4 linked regions of the Drosophila melanogaster genome follow. The protein of the gene in region 4 purifies or fractionates together with the protein of the main gene of each other region. This does not show direct contact. Each region holds a gene or a part of one and is shown on either strand. Other genes may lie near its edges.

Region 1 (5,361 bases), on a different chromosome or scaffold from region 4:
GCCCGGTGGCCGCCTTCCACATTATATAATGCCGAATTGACAACGCCACCCAAAACGGCCACTCCGAGGCCCATTTGGCCAATGCGATTAAAGAACTGAGCAGCCATTATCCTTTGAATAAAACAAACGTAATGTATTTAGTTACTGTTCTATAAACTATATATGTAAATGAAAGCCGACTGGACTTGGAAATTTCATCAGTTTTTAGGTTAGAACGTCATGGTTTAATGACAATGTGCTGTTTGCGTGTTTTTATCCCCTGTTCTTCCTGGTCTTCAAACGCAGTTAGCTCGGCTCGCTCATAGACTCACTTGTTAAAGGTTTTTGGTTGCACTTAAATTAAATTATTGTGCAATTTTGCTCTTTGAAATGCAAAACACGAAATACAACCACACGGCCTGTTATCGATAATACAACTGTCGGTGGGGCCGCCATATATCGAAACGTACTAATAAGAATCGTATTCGATTGTTTCCTAAGATTATCGATTATCGAAATTTAAAAAGAATAATAATAAACAAAGCCAGTTTACAATATCAAACTACAAATGGTGAAATTTACAATAAAAGTTTATTATTAATTGAAAACTAAAAACCCCCTCAAAATTATTGCGCCATTTCGGCTCGCCCGGCGACTTTTGGCATCTTCTTGTTCGTCGAATCCTCCAGCTCCTTGGCCTTGTAGTAGTGCGGAGCCACCTCCAGCAACCACTTGCTCTCGATCTCTATAACCTGACGCATGTACTCCTTGGAGGTGAACACCAGCTCGTGATAGAGCACCCAGCGCGGCAGCTCCTCAAAGAGCGAGGAGTTCGGATGTATCATCACGGTCTGATTGTGCTTGATGGTCTTGTAGTGACCGCCCTTCGAGAGTCGCGCCACATGGTAAAAGTAACCAGCGGTGGCTGCCTTGCGCACGTTTACTGTTTCTGGCAGGCAGCTGACCATGTCGATCTCGACACGCTGCATCAGTCCCACCAGCTGCTCCCGCACGTCGCGAGCCCGCTTCATCGATCTGTACTGGATGAAGTTCTCGTAGCACCACTGGGTGCTGTAGTCCGTCTCCGCCCACTGATTGTAGACCTGCAGGAGGCTCAAGTGGTCGCCGTGCATGTGATTGAAGTTTTTTCGGGCTGTGTCCGCGTGAATGATTTTGTCCTTGGGCCTGTAGAAAATGGCGCTATTCACGGACAGCATGGCTGCAATGGTCACCATCTCCTCGGAGCATTTGTATCTAAAACAAAAATATACGAATATTATACGAATTATTTCACTTCTGGTTTGTTAGATCGATTACATACTTTTCGCTTGCCAGCAGCATCTTGCCCATCATGGGATCCACGGGAAACTCGGCCATCCGTCGACCCAGCTTGGTTAACTCTCCATGGTGATTAAGTGCACCCAGGGCATATAGCTGCTCCAAAGCCAATACCAGTGTCTCGTGCGGCGGAGGGTCCAGAAAGTCGAAGTGTATCAGATCATTGATGCCCAGAGCCTTTAGCATGAGCACCGCATTGCCCAGATTAATACGCTGTATCTCCGGAACGGTATTGTCCTCCAGTTCATGCTTGTATGCCCACGCCGTATACAGACGGAAGCACTTTCCCGGAGCAGTTCGTCCCGCTCTGCCCGCTCGCTGATTGGCGGAGGCCTTGGAAATGGGCACCACCATAAGCGACTCCATGCCAGTGCGGGAATTAAAATTGTTCTGCTTGGCAAACCCAGGATCAATTACATAAATGATGTTGTCGATGGTTAGCGAAGTCTCTGCGATATTTGTGGCCAGGATAACTTTTCGGGCATTCGGCGGTGTGGGTTCGAAGATTTTGGCCTGCATATCACTCGGTAGATTCGCATAGACGGGTATAACGATCAGCTCACGTATTTTGGAGCCCAGCCGCTTTACGCGATCATGCAGAACCTCCTGGCAAGTCTCGATCTCATCCTGACCCGTGAGGAAGACTAGAATGTCGCCCAAAGGTTGAGTGGCATGAATCTGCAAAACTGAAACGCAACACGCGTCGATGTAGTCCGCTTCCGGAGCCTTGGTGTAGAATATGTCCACTGGATAGCGGCGACCAGGTATCCGAAAGATGGGTGCATCATCGAAGAACGCGGAGAACTTTTCCGCATCCAGAGTGGCACTGGAAATGAGCAGCTTCAACTCTGGTCTAAAGCGAGCAATATCCTTGACCAGGCCAAACAAAATGTCCGTGTGCAGTGTCCGTTCGTGAGCCTCATCGATAATCATCACACTGTAGGAGGCCAAGTCGGGTTCCGAAAGGAACTCTCGATGCAGGGTGCCGTCCGTCATGTACTTGAGAATGGTGCGATCCGAGGTGCAGTCCTCGAAACGGATGCTGTAGCCCACCTCGTTGCCCAGCTTCACGCCCATTTCCTCGGCCACGCGTGCTGCCACCGACATGGCGGCCACACGACGTGGTTGCGTGCATCCGATCATCTTCTTGTCCTTGGTGAAACCAGCTTCCACGAGGTACTGCGGCACCTGTGTCGTTTTGCCCGAGCCTGTTTCTCCTTCGATGATGAGCACCTGATGTTCCTTTACAGCAGCAATCAGATCCTCCTTGAACGGATAAACGGGCAGTGATCTTCTGGTTTCGTCCAATGTCAAACGTTTGCGTTCCTTCTCCGTGAGTTCGGGCTGTCGGCTAGATGATTTCTCTCGACTTCCGTCCAGGGTAAGGGCTTGGATGAAATCGATTTGATCGTCAAGTAGCAGCTCATACTCCTCCTCCGCCTTGGCATCTTTCGCGCCGAAATGGAAACGCGCCGAAGCCAGCTGTTCAGCCTCCCATTTCTTCTGCTCTGAGTTGGGTTGCTTCTCAAACTCATCAACCTCAACGTATTCAGCTTAAGTGGAAAAATAACATATAAGTATTTATCGAGGACCAACGTACGTTGTCTACATACATCGCTCTCCCTTTTTCAGGTCCTGCGGCATATTATAACGCTGGATGCGCTCTAGTTCCCGCGCCTTCTCGTGCTCCTTGGCGATGTTCAGCAGTTGCTTCTTGTACTCGCGCTCCTCCTTCTCCCGTTTGGTCAGGCTGAAAGCAAACCAGGATTATTTGGATACCTATGTAGGTAAGGATTAAGCTATGATCCTACACGCTCTCATCGAAGAGGTACTCATCGTCCAGGATGTCCGCCTCCAGCTCGGCCACCTTGTCATCCTTGCGCTTCTCCAGGTACTGGCGACGCGACTGCAGACGCAGGTGAGGCACTATCTTGTCCCGATCCTCATGCTCAAGCTTCAGTCGCTTGGTGGCCTCCTCGATGGCCCTTCGTCCGCCGGTGGAATCAACCACATTGCGCGTCCGATCGTCATCCCGCTTCTTCAGCCGGCTGGCGAACTCGTCGCGCTCCTGCAGGTCCTTTAGGCGAGACTCTTCCTCGCTGTCCGGCTCCTCACCGCTGCTGCTGCTGCTGGCCGTGCGTTTTCTGTTTTTACCCGACATTTTCAAGATTGCCTATAAACAAACCGGCTAGCGATAGGTAATTCGATAACATGCAGTGCTGCCAAGCTAGCTATTTTCAGCACTGGGTGAGCAAACAATAATAATCAAATTGCTAAAAATATATTATATATATATATAATATTCTATATTTATTTTATTACAAATTATGTTTCTTATATTATAGGCTTATTTGTGGCAATAACTAGTTTTAAAGGACTTATGGGTACACCTTCATGGCACATTCAATTTTGTGTGTTGCTCATTTTTTTTTGCTCGAATTTATTAGTAGAGAGCATCACTGTTCCCCTAACAGCTGTTTAATTCGTTAAACTCACCTCAGTTTCATATCATGTCGCGCCAATTGAGTTTCAATCCGCAGAAAGAATATGAGTTGATCGAGTACCCCGGCCGAGTGGTAAATCCCGATCGGATGATAGCCACTCTGGGCGGCATCATCAATGTGTCTAAGGTATGGAATTCAACCTGGTCAGGCAATCGGGCAACTTGGCTGATATCTTATTCCATGCACAGGTTTTGGGCGACGAAGTGAAACGATTGGCGTTGCACTTCCATCCGGAGAATCCCTACAACAAACCCACTTTTGGGGACTGCACGGATAAGACTGGTGTCCTGCTATCCATAACCGTGAGGCGCCACAAAAAGGACAAGCAACGGCCTCCGGAATATTTTGTGCGGGTGTTGGGCCACTGCAGCAGGAGCTTCACCTTTGAAAGTGAGTAGATGGTCGGAATTCCATCCACGATATATTCTAATTTCCTTTTACTTTAAGCGCTTTGTGATTTCCAATACCTACCCCTCTGGTCAACTCCCAAAAGTGACAACGCAAATGCTGCCCAGGAGCTCACGTACGCTTTGGACCAGTTGAAACCCAAAAACACCACCGACTTGGACTACTTTAAGTGAGTAACTTGTCCATATTCGTGCTCTGTGCACCAAGAGAATGAGATCCTGGTTTGAAAGCTATATAGCATGTATAATTAATCATTTTAATGCTCAGTATGTAAAAGCATCGTATTTTTCCCACAGACGTCGCCACAGCCAGTTGCTGGCGCTGCCCGAATTGTTCACCCACGTGGACACTGTCTATGCGGGCACGTATCGCATCGATCCCTCAGAAGACGGCCAACATGAGGTGCTGGGCGTGCAGTCCAAGTCCTCCTACGACAACCAGGGCGTGGTCTCGTTCAACATGGTGGACAGCTTTCCCACCCAGGCAGACTCCCAAAACCTTAAACGACTCAAGGTCAAGTACGTTTCGGATGAGCAGCTGGCATTGGTCAAAAAACTTTTCGATGACTGCCCAATTTGGACCCGAATCGCGCTGCAATATGAATCGGGTTTGACCAACGACAAACTCAAGTGCATCACTCCATCGCTGGCATTTTACTTTAGCAACGGCCCGTGGCGCACTTTGTATGTTCGCTTCGGCTACGATCCCCGCAAGGACTTCAATAGTCGCTACTATCAGACTTTCGACTTCCGACTCCGATTCAGCACTGGTCTCTCCGAATTCGTGTATGCTAAGAAGTTCGTAAAGCAACGGAGGGCGGCGAACGCTCCATTCGCGCCCATCGAGGATCGAGTCTCTGATTTGGTTCAGGACATTGACTATCCCTACTTCGATGAGCACAAGCTGCCGCGCTCCAGGCAATGCATGCTGCGCTACTGCGACGTCCGTATGACGAGGATCCAGGAAATGTTGGAGAAGATCCCCACTCCACTTACCGGAGCTGTGTGCAATGAACGCACGGGCTGGCTGCCGCCGGGATTCGATGCTCAAGTGCGTCAGATTGTCTGCGCCTCGATCAGCGAACTTTTGCGCAACCATTACCGCAAGGAGAATCTTACAGCCGAAGTGGAGG
Region 2 (4,451 bases), 4.6 Mb from region 4:
CTTTTGGCTATGGCCTGGATTGGAGCCATCATTAACAATCTACTGCTTATGTACTTGGCCACCCTACTCATCCTCATGTGGCCAGGACTACAGAACAAGGACATTTTTAAGGCCATCACCCAAAGGGCCTCGAAGATTATTAACGAGAAGATCCAGTGCGGCAAAAGGAAGCTGCAGTAAAGGAAAGCAACCAGATAAACTCATCACCATTTGACCAAAAATATAAAACATGCCTAAGTCATCTACTTGCCATTATGCACACATCGCATCACTAAATCACACATTAGGCGCATTGAATTTGAAACTATAAATATCTTAAAAGATAAGAGCAGCGCATACAGAAAAAAAAAACTCGGAAAACTAGCAAATCCGTGGTTCTGGCCCCATCACATCTCCTACTATAAGTTTGTAACATGTAAGACAGAAGTATTCTCGAAACGAGGCGTACGGAGAGAGAAAAAAACGCGCAACAAAAGACAAGGCATTTTTGTGATTATTTTGTGAGTTAATTGAAATTTATGATAATCCCAAGTAAGATAAAAAAAGGAACTTAAGCGTCTAATGAACTATATTTAAATAAAGATTTCAACTAAATAGATCAATCACTGACGGTCTCTTGACCTTGATCGCGTGCGGGACCTGACATGCTTGCTCCTCTTGGTCTTCTTTTTGTGCTTGCTGTGGTGACGACGATGGTTTTCACCGAGGCTGTCATCGCTCTCTAAGCTGGAGTCGTTGTCCGCCTTTCTCGACTTGTTCTTGGACTTCTTTGAGTGTTTTCTTGACTTGTGGCTGGATGATTTCTTCTTGTGCTTCCTGCGTTCATATGCAGAGTCGGAGTCGCTCTCGGTGGACTCTCCCGTATCGTCTGCCTCGTCTGAACTACTCTTTGTTCTTCTGGTGCTTCGGGGACTTTGCGAACGCTTTTGGTCACGGTCTTCCCGCTTCGACTTAGATGGGCTTCTGCCTCTGGGACTCGGCGAACGACGACGCTCACGTTCCTCGCGTTTAGATACAGAGGAGCTACCACTCCGCACATACTTCTTTTCTCGATCCACCTCCTCTTTGTTAGATTTGGCTTCCTTGTACGATTTTCGCTCGTCTTTGTACGTCCTGCGATGTTCGTCTTTGTACGTTTTTTTGTCTTCATATTTGTAAGACCTTTTATCTTCTTCCTTGCATTTCATGCGATAGTCTTCTTTACTAGATCTCTGGTCCCCTGGCTTCGAACTCTTTTGATTTTGAGCTTCATCCCGGTCTGATCTAATTTCTTCCCTGCGGTCTCTGTCCCTTCTTCCTGACGGATTTTCCTGCTTCACAATAATCTGGCCATGCTCGTTTTCATTTTTTTTGAATTCTTCGTATTTGGCAGTGTCTGAAAGTAAATGTAAAAGAAATATAAAAATGTCACAAATATAAAGGATTTGCATTTTCCAGGCTCCACTTACTTATGCACTTGCCATACTGAGAGTACTCCTTGCGGGATACGGGCTGACAAAGGAACTCGTTGAACGCCTCTTTGGCCCCTCCAATTGCCATTTTGACAATTACTCGCCCTGCATGGTCATCAAAACCTTGGATTTGGCCATACTGATCCTTCTGCTTTCCGCCCAGAATGCGCACGTACGCCTGCTTCTTAATCTCCAGTACCTCGTTCTTCTCCGGCTGGACCAGTAGAGCTTTAGGTTTGAGCGCCTTATCTGCTCCCAGGCCCATGCCTTTGGGTCGCAGAAAGGGGGCATCATCGATGGGTCCTGAGCCCTTCTTTTTTGGCGGTGGATCAACCCAGCCCATGCCGCGCAGCATGGCTAGGCCAAATTGTTGTATCGGTATGTTGTCATAGTCATCTAGTGTTGCCTCCTTGGCACCATCGAGAGGCAGTTCGTCTGCGCTTAGGGCGGGCAGGACAAGTTTCTGGTCATCTAGGCCTTCGGCACCGTTATTTTGGATGGCAGATATCAATTCCCGAGCTGCTCTCTGTTCCAGACTCTCCGTTGGACCGCCTGCGGTGACCTCTGCTATAGACTGAGCCACTGGAGTCACCTCCTCTGGATCCGGTTCCTCCTCGCCCAGCAGAACTGCCCGCCTCCTCATCAGACTCGCCAAAGCGGACGAAGTCTTCTGCATGCCTATCATTTTGATGGTAAGAGGAGCAGCTTCCACCTTTTCGCTAAATATTACATATGAGTATAAAACTATTTCAAGATATTTTAACTTACTCGACTGGCATGATTTCGTTTCCTTCCAAGCATTTTATCAACTCCACCTTGCTTTCCTCTTTCGGCTGCTTGCTGGGCAGAATGTTTGGTTTCTTGGACAATTTACTAAAGCCAAAAGATATCTTCTTGGCCTCCATGTTGTCTAGTTAAAAAATTAATAACTATTAAAAACAAATTGAAGCCGAAATGTATCGTAAACAAACAGGCCACAGCTGACTCGCGGTTTGTTATCGATATCGATAATTTATTTAATTTATGAAACGCTTACACTACACTTTTAAAGTATTTGCAAAACTTATTTGTTTTTCCATTTATATATAAAAACTACCATGAAATCCATTTAATACGTTTTGAGCAGTTTTATTGAATACAGCACAGGATCTTCAAATATTAAAAAGTTCGACGCTGTTTATGTAACTCATCATTCCAAGTAATCACTTTTCCCCCGTTATATTCAGAATATCCTCCAACATTTTCTTTTTCGAAGGTGATACAATTTTCATAAATTATATTTTAACTTCTTTTGAGTTTAGTTGGTTAGGCTTTTTAGGCTTCAAAATTTCCACATTTTAATTATGATGTGATAGAAATATGCTATATAACATAAATTTAAAATCCATTCGTAATATAAATTAATTTCCAGTATCACTTACACCGTAGAAAATATTATTTATTGTTACAAGTTTAATGTTTTGATTTCGCTTAAACCTCAGGGTGGAAAATTTAAAACCAAGTTAGGCGCCTTCAAAAAATCGCAGTTATGACGAATGTAATTCTGTGACATCGATAACAAAAGCTGCATAGTGTAAGTATACTGTTTCTCGATATCGATTCTTAAGAGAGCTGCTGCTTCGAATTGTGGAGAATTTGAATTAAACTTATAAGCGATCGCAAAAGTCAGTTAGCAGTAAGTGAGGAAAGAAAAGAAACTAGAAGAAGGAACTGGCAGAAGTAACTAACAAGCCGGTCCGCTCAATATCCTATCGAACCTTCTCGAATAATGTGTCATCGGCGGTTCTAACCTCACTCATTCTCTTTCAAACAGCGGCAGCGCCAGCACGAGTTCAATTGTTTTCACGCAGAAATAAATTAAACAGCCAGAAAGATGTTCGGTGGACAGCAGCCAATACTCGTGTTGAGTGAGTATGAAATTTGCACGTCGTAGAGCCCAATTGCAATCGAATTACCCGCCGACAGGTCAAAACACAAAGAGAGAATCGGGCCGCAAAGTGCAGTTGGAGAACATCCAAGCCGGAAAGGTATGCGTGACTCACATGTCTGGGTCTTGGGTTTTTGTGTTCTCGCGTTTTCCGACCATCTGTTGATTAAAACGTCTTTTTCCAGGCCATCGCCGATGTGATACGCACATGTCTGGGGCCACAGGCCATGCTGAAGATGCTGATGGACCCAATGGGCGGCATCGTGATGACCAACGATGGCAACGCCATCCTGCGTGAGATCACTGTGCAGCACCCGGCGGCCAAGAGCATGATTGAAATTGCTCGCACACAAGACGAGGAGGTTGGCGATGGTACCACATCGGTCATCGTCCTGGCCGGCGAGATGCTGGCCGCCGCCGAGCCCTTCCTCCAGCAACAGATCCACCCCACTGTTATCATTCGCGCCTATCGCGAGGCCCTCGAGGACATCGTCGGCCACCTGCAGTCCCAGCTTAGCATCCAGTTGGACGTCAAGGATAAGGCCAAGATGGCCGATGTGGTCAAGGCCTGTGTGGGCACCAAGTTCATTGGCAAGTGGTCCGACCTTGCCGTCAAGATTGCCCTGGACGCAGTCGAGACAGTGACGCTAAGTGAGAACGGCCGTCTGGAGGTAGACATTAAACGGTAAGAACGAAATTTGTTATGCATATTATTTTTGAATAAATAATTTTAACTTTGTTACTTTCACAGCTATGCCAAGGTGGAGAAGATCCCGGGTGGCGCCATCGAGGAGTCGTGTGTTCTTAAGGGCGTGATGATCAACAAAGACGTGACGCATCCCAAGATGCGACGCCTCATCGAGAATCCCCGCATCGTGCTGCTTGACTGCTCGCTGGAGTACAAGAAGGGCGAGAGCCAAACCAACGTGGAGATAATCGGGGAGCAAGACTTCACCCGCATGCTGCAGATCGAGGAGGAGTTTGTGCAGCGCATCTGCGCCGACATCATTGCCGTGAAACCGGATTTGGTATTCACTGAGAAGGGTGTCTCCGATCTCGCCCAGCACTATTTG
Region 3 (4,577 bases), about 13 Mb from region 4:
TTTCAAGAAGCTCCACCGTACACGACAATACGTTTTTCAGGGGGATGCCAATGCTTTGGCGGCGGGACGACTAAAAATCAACGAATCTTTCCTGCAGAATCGTAATGAAAGCAGCGAGGATGAAATTCAAAAGGTTTAACCACTTTTTGTAAATTCTAACTAAGTACATATATGGCAATTTGGCAAATTACAGATGATCAAGCTGGCGCAGGACGTGGATTTGGAGCTGCGAACGAATGTCATCCAAGCCCAGAAAAAAGAGGATGGTGTTTATGGTCAGTGGGGCATGGCGATTACATAAAAGAGCGCTCAAAATTAAAATTTGGCTATATTTACAGAACTAAGGATCACGCCAGAGACAACGCGACTCGACAATGTGGTCTTTAATCCTGACGCAATTATCGAAAAACCGCGCAGGCAACGCGGCGACAAAAACACTGAAGGTTGCTGCGGTGGCGCTGCGATGGCGGCGCTGGAAGCCGAAGTCCAGGCCCGCAACAAATAAAAATATATTCAATATTTAGCTGTAGTCAAGATGGTTTTGTTCTGATTAATTACGTCGTTTATCTTTAATTTCTATTATGTTTCTTCTTCGATTTGTGACTACTCTTTGACTTGGACTTCTTTTGCTTGGATTTTGTACTCTTTTTGCGTTTGCTGCGATCGTCCGACGATGAGGAGCTGCTAGAGCTGTCCTCGGAACTATCTGAAGATGTGGAGTCGCTTTCGGATTCCGAGGAACTTTCACTCGAATCTGAACTGCTGCTAGCTGCTCGTTTCGATTTCTTGGCTTGCTTTTTGCTCTTTTCCACTGAAAGTTTTCTTTTCTTCTCATGACTCTTGTTAGGGCTTGAGTGAGTGTCCATTCTATGGTCTTCCCGGTTCCTGGATTGTTGCCTATAAAAAGATAGATAGATAGTTAAAGATTTTGTATACATCCAGATGCTTAACATTTTTACCTCCGCTCTGGCGATCTTCTTTGATTCCTGGAGGTTTCTCTATGCGATCTCTCATCGTTACGTCTTCCTTCTTGAGGGGAATGGAATCGCCTGCTGTCATTGCGATCTCTGTTTTGAGTCGGTCTTTTTCCAGTTTGATCTCTAGATCTAGAACGCCTTCTCTCATTTTGTTCCCTTGGCCTAGAGCGTCTTCTTTCCTTTTGGTCCCTTGACCTAGAACGTCTTCCTAATTGGTCTCTAGGCCTAGAAGGCCTTCTCTCTTCTCGATCTCTTGACCTAGAGTACCTTCTATGTGTTGCATCCCGAGACCTCGATGACCTTTTTTCATTGCGATTCCTTTCGCGATTTGAGTTCTCTCTGACTGACTCATTTTGCGATTTTTTCGATCTATAAACACTTTTTTCATCTTTTTCCTTCGATCTGGTGCGTCTTTGCAAATTCTTTCGAACATCTCGTTCGCTTTGCTCCTGGTGTCGCTGTTCTCTCGCTTTTCTTCGCTCTGCAGAGCTCATCCTATTTCGAAAATCTTCCGTCCTGTTGCGCTCCTTATGGTCTTCTGTTCTGGACCGGCCATTGTTTGGTTTCCTGTGATCTTTGTCGTCTCGCAAATTGTTAAAATCCAGCTTTCTATAGTCGCCCTCAATACCACGTCCTTTGCCCCGCCAGGTGACCTTTGAAACGGATTGGGAGAAGTCCACGTGGATGCGTCGATCGTCGATAAGCACATTATCCATTTTGAAATATGCGGCCTCACAAGATTTTTGATCCTCGAACTCCACAAAAGCATATTGCAGAGAATCTCCCGTTTTGCGGTCGCGAATCACCTCACATCCTTTAAGCACGCCGAAGCTACTAAAGATTATCTCCAGATCATCGTCGGTTGTAACAGGATTGAGTTTGCACACAAACAAGACATTTTCTGGCGGAGCCATGTCTGCATCGGGTAAATCGCCGACAATCTCAAGGATTGTGGCTCGAGCCTTGGCCTCTCGTTCGGCCAGCATCTCCTGCATCTCCTCCGCGGTCATGCCATCAGTGTCATCGATATCCTCGTCGGCAGCGATGCGCCCGTTCTTCAGACGCTCCGCACTGGGCGAAGGTGAGCGACTTGGAGCCTGAAGGCCGCGCGGATTAGGAAACGGATCCTCAAGCACAACAGTGTGTGTGATGCGTATATCCTGGTAAGGACGGAAGCTGTCGTCAACAATGGCGTCGTTTAGCTTGCGCAGCACCTCGTGACCTTCCACCACTTCACCGATAACGCAGTGGTTGCCGTCCAGCGATGTTAGGTTCTCACCCAGCGTGAGGAAGAACTGGGATCCCACCAGATTCTTGCCTGCACTGACCAGCGATAGCATTCCGGCACTGGAGTGGTTAATCTTGGGCAGGAACTCCGCCTCGAAGAAGCGCTTTTGCGGACCCTCCACCACGCCCCAGATGGAGGATCCGCCGTCTCCAGCTCCACTCGGATCGCCTGTTTGGGCGATGAATCCCTGCTGCACCGTGTGAAATAGATTGAAGTTATAGTACTTCAGCCGGCACAGCTTGAGGAAGTTTAGGCAGGCAATTGGGCGCTCGCTGATGAACAGGTCGACGGTCAGGTCACCCATCGTGGTTTCTATAACCACCGACATTGTGCGAATTCACAGATACCGGCAAAATCAAGGGATAAACAAGAACAATATAGAGGTGGAGAAACATCGATGCCAAATCGATATCATCGATGCTTTCGAAAAATCACAAACATCGATGTTTTTCGAGGAATCATCGATGTTTTTCCATCTCTACTGCGCATCGGAGGAGAGAAGTGTATAAATTGTAGGTATAAATTAATTATCCAAATTTTCTAATACAATTATTAATTTAATGTGACTTATGTCGGTGTTATATGAAACTTGTACAAAATTGGTATTTTACATAAATTTTGAAAAAAAAATATTTTTTTTTATGTACCCTAAACTGAGAAAAAAGTAAAAAAAATACAAACTGAACAAAACTGAAAAAAAATAAAGAAAATACAAATTGATCAAAGAAGTCCATACCTGTAAATGTAAATAGTTATACACGATGCGTAAGTTCATCCGATACTTGACATCGATTGAATATTTTAAAAACAGAACGTAACTTCGTAATCGCCATTTTCGATTGTCATTCGATAATTGTGTGTGTATCAGTGAGACTTGTCAAAGAATTTTCACACGTTTCGAGACTGGAAAAAAGTACAGAAAATTTCATTCCAATCTTAAAAAGCGACAATTAATAGTTAAGCAAGTGACCAGTGATCTAGAACAAGGTAAAATGCCCGAGGCAGGAAAGAAAATAGCAGAGTTGCGCGTGTGCGATCTAAAGAGTGAGCTGGAGAAACGCGAGTTGGAGACAGTCGGCCCCAAGGCGGTGCTCATCGAACGCCTTGAAAAAGTAAGTCCACAAATATGTATGCAACTTAAATGGCGGTTCAGTGCCGCTGGCGATAGAGATAGTGATGCAATTTCCGGGGATTTATGAATGTGTGTAAGCAACGCCTGGTTTTTTCTAATTTCAAGTCACTCAGAGCTGAAGGGCTCGACCCGGCCACCCACTTGATTGTGCCGGGCGCGAAGGCCAAGAAGCCGTTTGCCATGCCCATGAAAGATCTCCAGTCGGAGGTGGTGATCAAGGAAGAGCCCATCGATGCCAATGAGGAGGAGGTGAAGGTGGAACAGCAAGATGATTACCAGAATGGCAACGACTACTCGCATCATGCCGACGACGATGGGCATGAGATTGACCAGGTGGGAGATGTGGACGATGAGTGTGTGATCCTGGATGACGACGATGAAGAGGATGAGGATCATGTGTACGACGATGAGCCCCAGAGCGGTGATGGCGATGCCGAGGGGAAAGCTCAGGACGATGGAGCCGAGAACAATGGCGACGACAAGGCTATTATCCATGGTGAGGAGGAAAACACCGGGGACACCGGAAATATGGACAATGACGAGTCAATCAATTTGACAATTGGGGAGGACGAGCAGAAGCTGCTGCACGATGAGGTGATTTTAACTATTTGGCCTTAAATTGATGTATTCTAATCCAATTTGTTTTGTCCTCAGGCTTCCGACGACAAATCTATTAAGTCTGGTATGTTTGCAGTATCACTCAAAACCATAGAAAATTTATAATTCATGACTAGAAATATCATGGCGTTTGTATTCATGCAATCGATTAAGAAATACGAAATACAAGAAATAAAGCTAATATGTTAATAAAAGTTATCCTGATTCACAGTCAAACCGGCCAATAAATCCGAAAAGTCTAACTCGAAGGATGCCGACAAGAAGAATGACGACGGAGCTCGCTCCAAGAAAAGGGATGAGAAATCCGGTGATAAGAAGGACTCTAGGTAAGATTTGAAAACGTTTCTGTGACATGTCTTCTAATAACATAATATATTTTTTCTTTTCATTTCGCCACATGATTGTGCATAAATTATTATGGAAAATAGTGAACAAAAGTCCTCAGGAAAGTCGTCGAATCAAAAGGACGATAAAGGTAAATTAAGTTAAAGTTTTAGCATGAATAAGAATGGTGTGTTCGGATGGTCTTGCGTTGGGAATGATCAGACCAAGCATGAACCCA
Region 4 (5,389 bases):
AAACAATTGTCCCCGGTGATGCAACAAATATTTACTCCAACCATTTGGTAAACATAATTAGCATTTAATTAAAATAAAATTGCCCATCGATAGACAAGCAATTTGTGATTTGATTATCAAAATCAAATAAGACCGCCGCCACAAAGCCTTTTCGCTTGTGCAAATAGCCGTGCCGCTGCAGAGCCACATAAATATACATGTAGCCATTGGCAATCGGGAACAGGACCGGATCGTATCCGGATCGGCGATAAGGTCCTCCATCGCTGGAACCATCTGATAACTGCGAAATATGTACGTTAAGTGTGCAATTGATTGGATTATGACCCTTTGCTGTGCGTATGGCATTTTATGGGTCAGTGATAGACGGCAAATTGATTTTGTTTTGGTTTGGTTTCGTTAGCCTCTATTTTTGGATGCGCCATTGCCACCTGTTGCTCCGAATTAGTTTTGCTGCCGCTGCACTTTGAGCAGGTGGTGCAAATCGAATTTAAAATTGCATTCCGCGCGTGGGAGGTGTACAAATATCAAGGGAAGAGATACTCCGCATGTTCAACTGAGATGCAACGAGGGAAGGTACATTTATTCGTTACAAAATAAGTAGAAAATTGTAGATAGACATTGGGACTTGGGTAATAATATTTAATCATTTTTAATTAAAACTGAAAGTATTTTAGGGACAATAAACAAGTGCACTGCCTTCCATAAAGGCCTGCTTATTGACCATCAACTTTTTGCGCTGCCCTCGCCATTTTCGCCTTTTTGTCGCTCAGATTGCTTTGTTATTTGTCAACCATTTATTATTGTTCAAATAAAACGTATCCGCCGCCCATATGGATCGTCGAAACACAATTGATTTATACGATGTGCAAAAGGTTGACAGTCGTCCCTTTACTGTAAGGAAATTACTGAACTTTAACAACCTTCTAAAACATTTCAAGATTACAAATGGCGAGGGTAATGACTGAAAATGAATACAAAGAATACGTCTTTAGATAACTTTAATGTTAAGAGTCTAGTTCAATTTAAATTAAATTAAATAAAATATGATTTAAATTGGTGTGAAATTGATTTTAGTTATACATAGGACTATTTTACCCGTCTTACAAAAATAAACCAACCATTAATAAATTTTTACATAACATGCGTTATACATGTTTTTATTTGGAGGATTAATATTGTAATGAGTATTTAAGGCTAGGCGTAGTAACTAAACAATTACATAACTGGAATGACAAAATCTATAGAGCTGTGAGTAGTATATGAACAATTTTGATAGAGCTGCAAGAGCTGAGCTGAGTTGCATACGAGGCGGCCGCACGAGGTGCCACTAAAGCTTGGTTACCCTCAACAATCATATCTAGGCTAAACTATATCGATTCAATTCACATAAATTACCTAAGACGAGTGTGGCTAGAGAAACGGGTTTGGCAGGCGAATCGAGTGGGTTACTCGATCCGTATGACCCCGGCTCCGACACCACCACTGTGTGCGCACATGGGCGGCATAAAGGTCCATTTGTCGGTCTCCGGATCGTACACCTCGACTGTAGACAAATTTGACTCGCCATCATAGCCGCCGATGGCCCACAGTTTGCCCATGTTGGCGGCCAGAGCCACCCGCGAGCGTTTGCAATTCATTGGTGTCACCAGCTTCCAGGTGTCCGTCTGAGGGTCGTAGCACTCTACGGATCGAAGGAATGAGTTGCCGCAGTAGCCGCCGCACACGTATATCTTTCCGTTCAGCGTGGCCACGCCCAGTCTACAGCGACGATTCAGCATGGGCGACATCTTAACCCAGACATCTTCGGCCTGGTCGTACCGCTCCACCGAATCGAATATGGACAACCCATCATGACCGCCAAGGGCGTAGACGTAGCCGTTCAATTGGGTAACTCCACCAGCCGAACGATATTTCATCATTTGAGCAACCTTCGGGTAGTGAAATTAAAGTTGGATCAGTTTTCTTACCCATCTGGGTTACATAGAATGTTTGTTTACTTACAGTCTTCCAAGTGTTAGACTTTGGATAGTAAACTTCAACGGTGTTGAGCGACGTGACGCCGTCGTAGCCGCCGCACACATAGATACAATCATCCAATGCGGCCACGCCCACGGCGCTGCGTTTGCAGAGCATGGCACAGCCCTGGGACCACTTGTTTTTGCGCGGGTCGTAGACCTCAACGGTGGACAGACGTTCGGTGCCATTGAATCCACCAAAGGCGTACAGCTTGCCATTCAGAACGGCCACACCCACGCGAGATCTGTCGAAAAATTGGCAATTAGTATGGGATAGAATAGAAATAAATGCTCCTCGCACACTCACCTCATCATGGACATTTGTTCGCCCATTTTCCATTTTTTGGTGAGCGGATCGTAAATCTCGACCGTGCTCACAGATTCCCCAGTGCTGGCCAGTCCTCCCACGGCGTATATTTGTCCGGTAAAGAACTCACCGGATCTCTGGCGCGTGCGAAAGCTCTGCAGCAGACCCCTGCGCTCGGGCATGAGGTGAAAGTCCTTGGCCTCGTCTAGGAGATCACGGCATTGGTGCGAGGATCGAATGAGTTCCTCGCGGGCCACACGGTCCGCCAGGAACTGAGGCGAGAGCAATGGCAAACGCACTGCAGCCAGGACCTGAGGAAAGAGCTCAGAGCGCTTGTCTTCTGCGTACTTGACCCACTTCATGCAGGCCTCGAAGATGACCTCCTCGGTGCGTACGTTGAGTTCGTCCCGGCGCATCAGCTCCAGCAATTGTTCGCAGTCCAGGGCGAGAAACTCCTCCGACTGCGAGACTTTGGCAAAGTTTTGATCAATATACTTGTCGGCAGCGTCGATTAGCTGCCGGCAGATCATGGAGTCGGCGAAGGTGCGGATTCCCAGGACATTGTGCGGATGAAAGCGGGAGATCAGGAAACTGGCACAGGCATCCCGCACGTTGGACAATTGCAGGAAGCTGGCGCCCACCATCAGGTTCTGCACATTCTGGTTGTCGATGCGCACTTGGCCGCTGTAAACATAGTTGATCAGACTCTCCAGGGCACTTGGCTCTATGGCGCTCTCCTTCATGGTGATCTCCTTGATCCGACTCTCTGCCATGTTGTTGGTGAACATCGCATAGAAATACGGGATGGTGGCCGCCAGCACAACGCGGTGCGCTGAGAAGGTCTGATCTTCAACCTGCAATAATTGGGATGGCATTTTATATTTAGACGCTAGATAATGAACGTATCTCTGAGCTGCGGGTGATTGAATGCCCCAGTCTGCACGCAAACAACCTTTAGGGTGACATCGCACAGCTTGCCCATCCTGCGGATTTCCTTGAACAGGGGGAAACTCTCGCCGAATAGCTTATCATGCTTGTAAACAAAGTATTGATCCTCCACTTGGCTATTATCACTCAAATCCATCACTTTAACGGATCAAGAAAATGATAAACAGTAGAGATGCCAAATGTTGCTTGTACTGCAGAGCTAGTGGTGGTCAGTGGTGAGCGGTCACATTAATCGATAGTTGAGGTTCCTTCGATAGTTGAACAACACCAATAGTAGTGAAACAAATTTATTGAATCATATTGTTTAATTTTAAAGGTAACGTTCTTGGACCAAAATGTAATTTCATAATACTTATTAAAAAGTTGAGCCCTTTTTATGCAACAGTGATAATTAAATCCTTAAAAAGCACATATTTTTAAGACAATATTATTCTTTCATTTAATTTTAATTAGTAATTTTTCCGTTTTTGCGTCACCTTCTTAAAAAAAGACGCTCATCACTAATTGGGCGGTGATGACAGCCCTATCAGCTGTTAGTGTGGCTGGAGTGTTTTCTTCGCTCGGATTGATTAAGGGTCCAAAAACATTTTCGAGTAATCTGGGTCGCTTGCTAATTGGAAAACCACTGATCTGAGTTAAGACATAAATGTTTGGACCGCTATTAAATGCAAGGATACGAAAATAGCAAGTAACATGGAAGCCGCATCACCGAGGGAAACCCAGGTGAGTAAAAAGGTGTCGCTAGAATTGATGATGACGTCTCATCTTGTTATTTGCATTTGCAGAAGAACCCGAATCCGATCGAGGCGCTGAGCAAAGATGAAATCATCAGCAAATACAAAGGCCTGCTCAACATCGCTAAAAAGGCGAAACAGGCAAAAGATGGTAAGTTTGATGGAGAGTTTCAGGGAATCTTCCAGAATAATGCAAGCCACTCTCTTTCAGAACTCACCGAGGAAAATCACCGACTCAAGGATGCCCTTAAACGGGCGGCGGAGAAGCAGAGCAGCCTGCCAGCCATGCAGGAAATGGTCCAGGACTTCACCGATAAGAACCTCATCCTCACCGAGGAAGTGAATAATCTGAAACGAAAGACCAAAGAGGATGCCGATCGACTGACGCAATTCGAGATCGAGAACGAGAGCCTAAAGCGCCAACTTGGGCGACTGAGTGATGAAAACGATGCCCTCCTTGCCAATGTGGATCGCATGGAAAAGGCTATGCAACAGGTCAATGCTCTGGGTAACGAGCAGCGCAAGAATCTGGAACTTTTGGAAGTGGACATTGCCAAAATTAAGGAAGCGGAGGCGGAAAACGCTAGTCTTCGCCAGCAAGTCGCCACGATGGAAGAAGAGTCGAGTGTGCTGCAGCAAAAGTACCAAAACATCAAGGAACTTAACTCTGAGCAACGCAAGAAGTTTAATTCTCTAAAGGACCGCTTCATTGATGTACACCGCAAGTTGAAGAACCTCAAGGAGTGCAAGTGCGTGCTGCTGGAAACGCAGCACGAGTACGCCGCATCCGTTTCCAAATGGCAGGTGGAGATTATCAAAGCTTCGCAACTGTTGTGCGCAAAGATGGCATCCCTGCAGGCCGAGAATGAAAAACTGAAGCTGAACAATGGAAAGTCAGACAATAATCCTCAAACAATTGACACTGGAATTGACCGCAAGCGCTTGCTGCAAAGAGTTCAGGAAATGGATCGGCTAGCCAAAATAGTGAAGCAGAAGCAAAAGAACCAAAGGAGCAATTTGAATGTGGAGTACCTACTTAAGAAGATAACCGCTCTCGAAGAGCTTGCAGTCATTATAAAGCAGCAGCATAGAATTGACAAGGAACAATTGATAAGTGTAACGAAGGAGCAGGAAAACACCAAAAATCACGCCAGGAACCTTAATGTAAGCTTATTCCAGACCAAGCTTGATCAAATGCAAAATCTGGTCAAAGTCATTGCAAAGGAGCGTGATAATCAGCAGAGGAAGTTGCAGGAGTTGGAAGCCATCTGCATAGAACTGCGCCAACACAACGAGGATTTGCTTACGCGATACCACCTCAAGGAGCAAGAGCATGGAGAGTTGCTAACGGAGATGCGGGAACTGAACGAGGCGCTCAAAGGACG

The links.
Region 1: the proteins of KLHL18 (region 4) and l(2)37Cb purify together in Drosophila melanogaster (affinity purification with western blotting; one study listed by BioGRID). This does not show direct contact.
Region 2: the proteins of KLHL18 (region 4) and CG10324 purify together in Drosophila melanogaster (affinity purification with western blotting; one study listed by BioGRID). This does not show direct contact.
Region 3: the proteins of KLHL18 (region 4) and CG5808 purify together in Drosophila melanogaster (affinity purification with western blotting; one study listed by BioGRID). This does not show direct contact.

The regions. Positions count from the first base shown.
Region 1 is NT_033779.5:19,123,446-19,128,806, forward strand, and holds l(2)37Cb (lethal (2) 37Cb), read right to left. Parts: upstream 3,532-5,361; 5' UTR 3,479-3,531; coding exon 3,129-3,478; intron 3,068-3,128; coding exon 2,931-3,067; intron 2,871-2,930; coding exon 1,301-2,870; intron 1,234-1,300; coding exon 606-1,233; 3' UTR 553-605; downstream 1-552. Other genes in the region: Phb1 (prohibitin 1), read right to left, coding at 1-107; l(2)37Cd (lethal (2) 37Cd), read left to right, coding at 3,828-3,947, 4,010-4,211, 4,269-4,398, 4,526-5,361.
Region 2 is NT_033777.3:16,644,572-16,649,022, forward strand, and holds CG10324 (uncharacterized protein), read right to left. Parts: upstream 2,434-4,451; 5' UTR 2,357-2,433; coding exon 2,220-2,356; intron 2,171-2,219; coding exon 1,449-2,170; intron 1,376-1,448; coding exon 603-1,375; 3' UTR 501-602; downstream 1-500. Other genes in the region: Arl6IP1 (ADP-ribosylation factor-like 6 interacting protein 1), read left to right, coding at 1-180; CCT3 (chaperonin containing TCP1 subunit 3), read left to right, coding at 3,325-3,358, 3,417-3,478, 3,564-4,063, 4,130-4,451.
Region 3 is NT_033777.3:24,814,360-24,818,936, forward strand, and holds CG5808 (uncharacterized protein), read right to left. Parts: upstream 2,649-4,577; 5' UTR 2,594-2,648; coding exon 960-2,593; intron 898-959; coding exon 570-897; 3' UTR 544-569; downstream 1-543. Other genes in the region: CG34150 (uncharacterized protein), read left to right, coding at 1-133, 194-275, 339-505; Saf-B (scaffold attachment factor B), read left to right, coding at 3,258-3,377, 3,503-3,991, 4,052-4,079, 4,227-4,341, 4,444-4,490.
Region 4 is NT_033777.3:12,006,968-12,012,356, forward strand, and holds KLHL18 (kelch like family member 18), read right to left. Parts: upstream 3,468-5,389; 5' UTR 3,407-3,467; coding exon 3,275-3,406; exon of another isoform or gene 3,198-3,274; coding exon of another isoform or gene 3,177-3,197; coding exon 2,323-3,176; intron 2,261-2,322; coding exon 2,002-2,260; intron 1,929-2,001; coding exon 1,446-1,928; 3' UTR 1,396-1,445; exon of another isoform or gene 1,134-1,395; intron 962-1,133; 3' UTR 509-961; downstream 1-508. Other genes in the region: GCC185 (GRIP and coiled-coil domain containing 185 kDa), read left to right, coding at 3,964-3,993, 4,056-4,155, 4,216-5,389.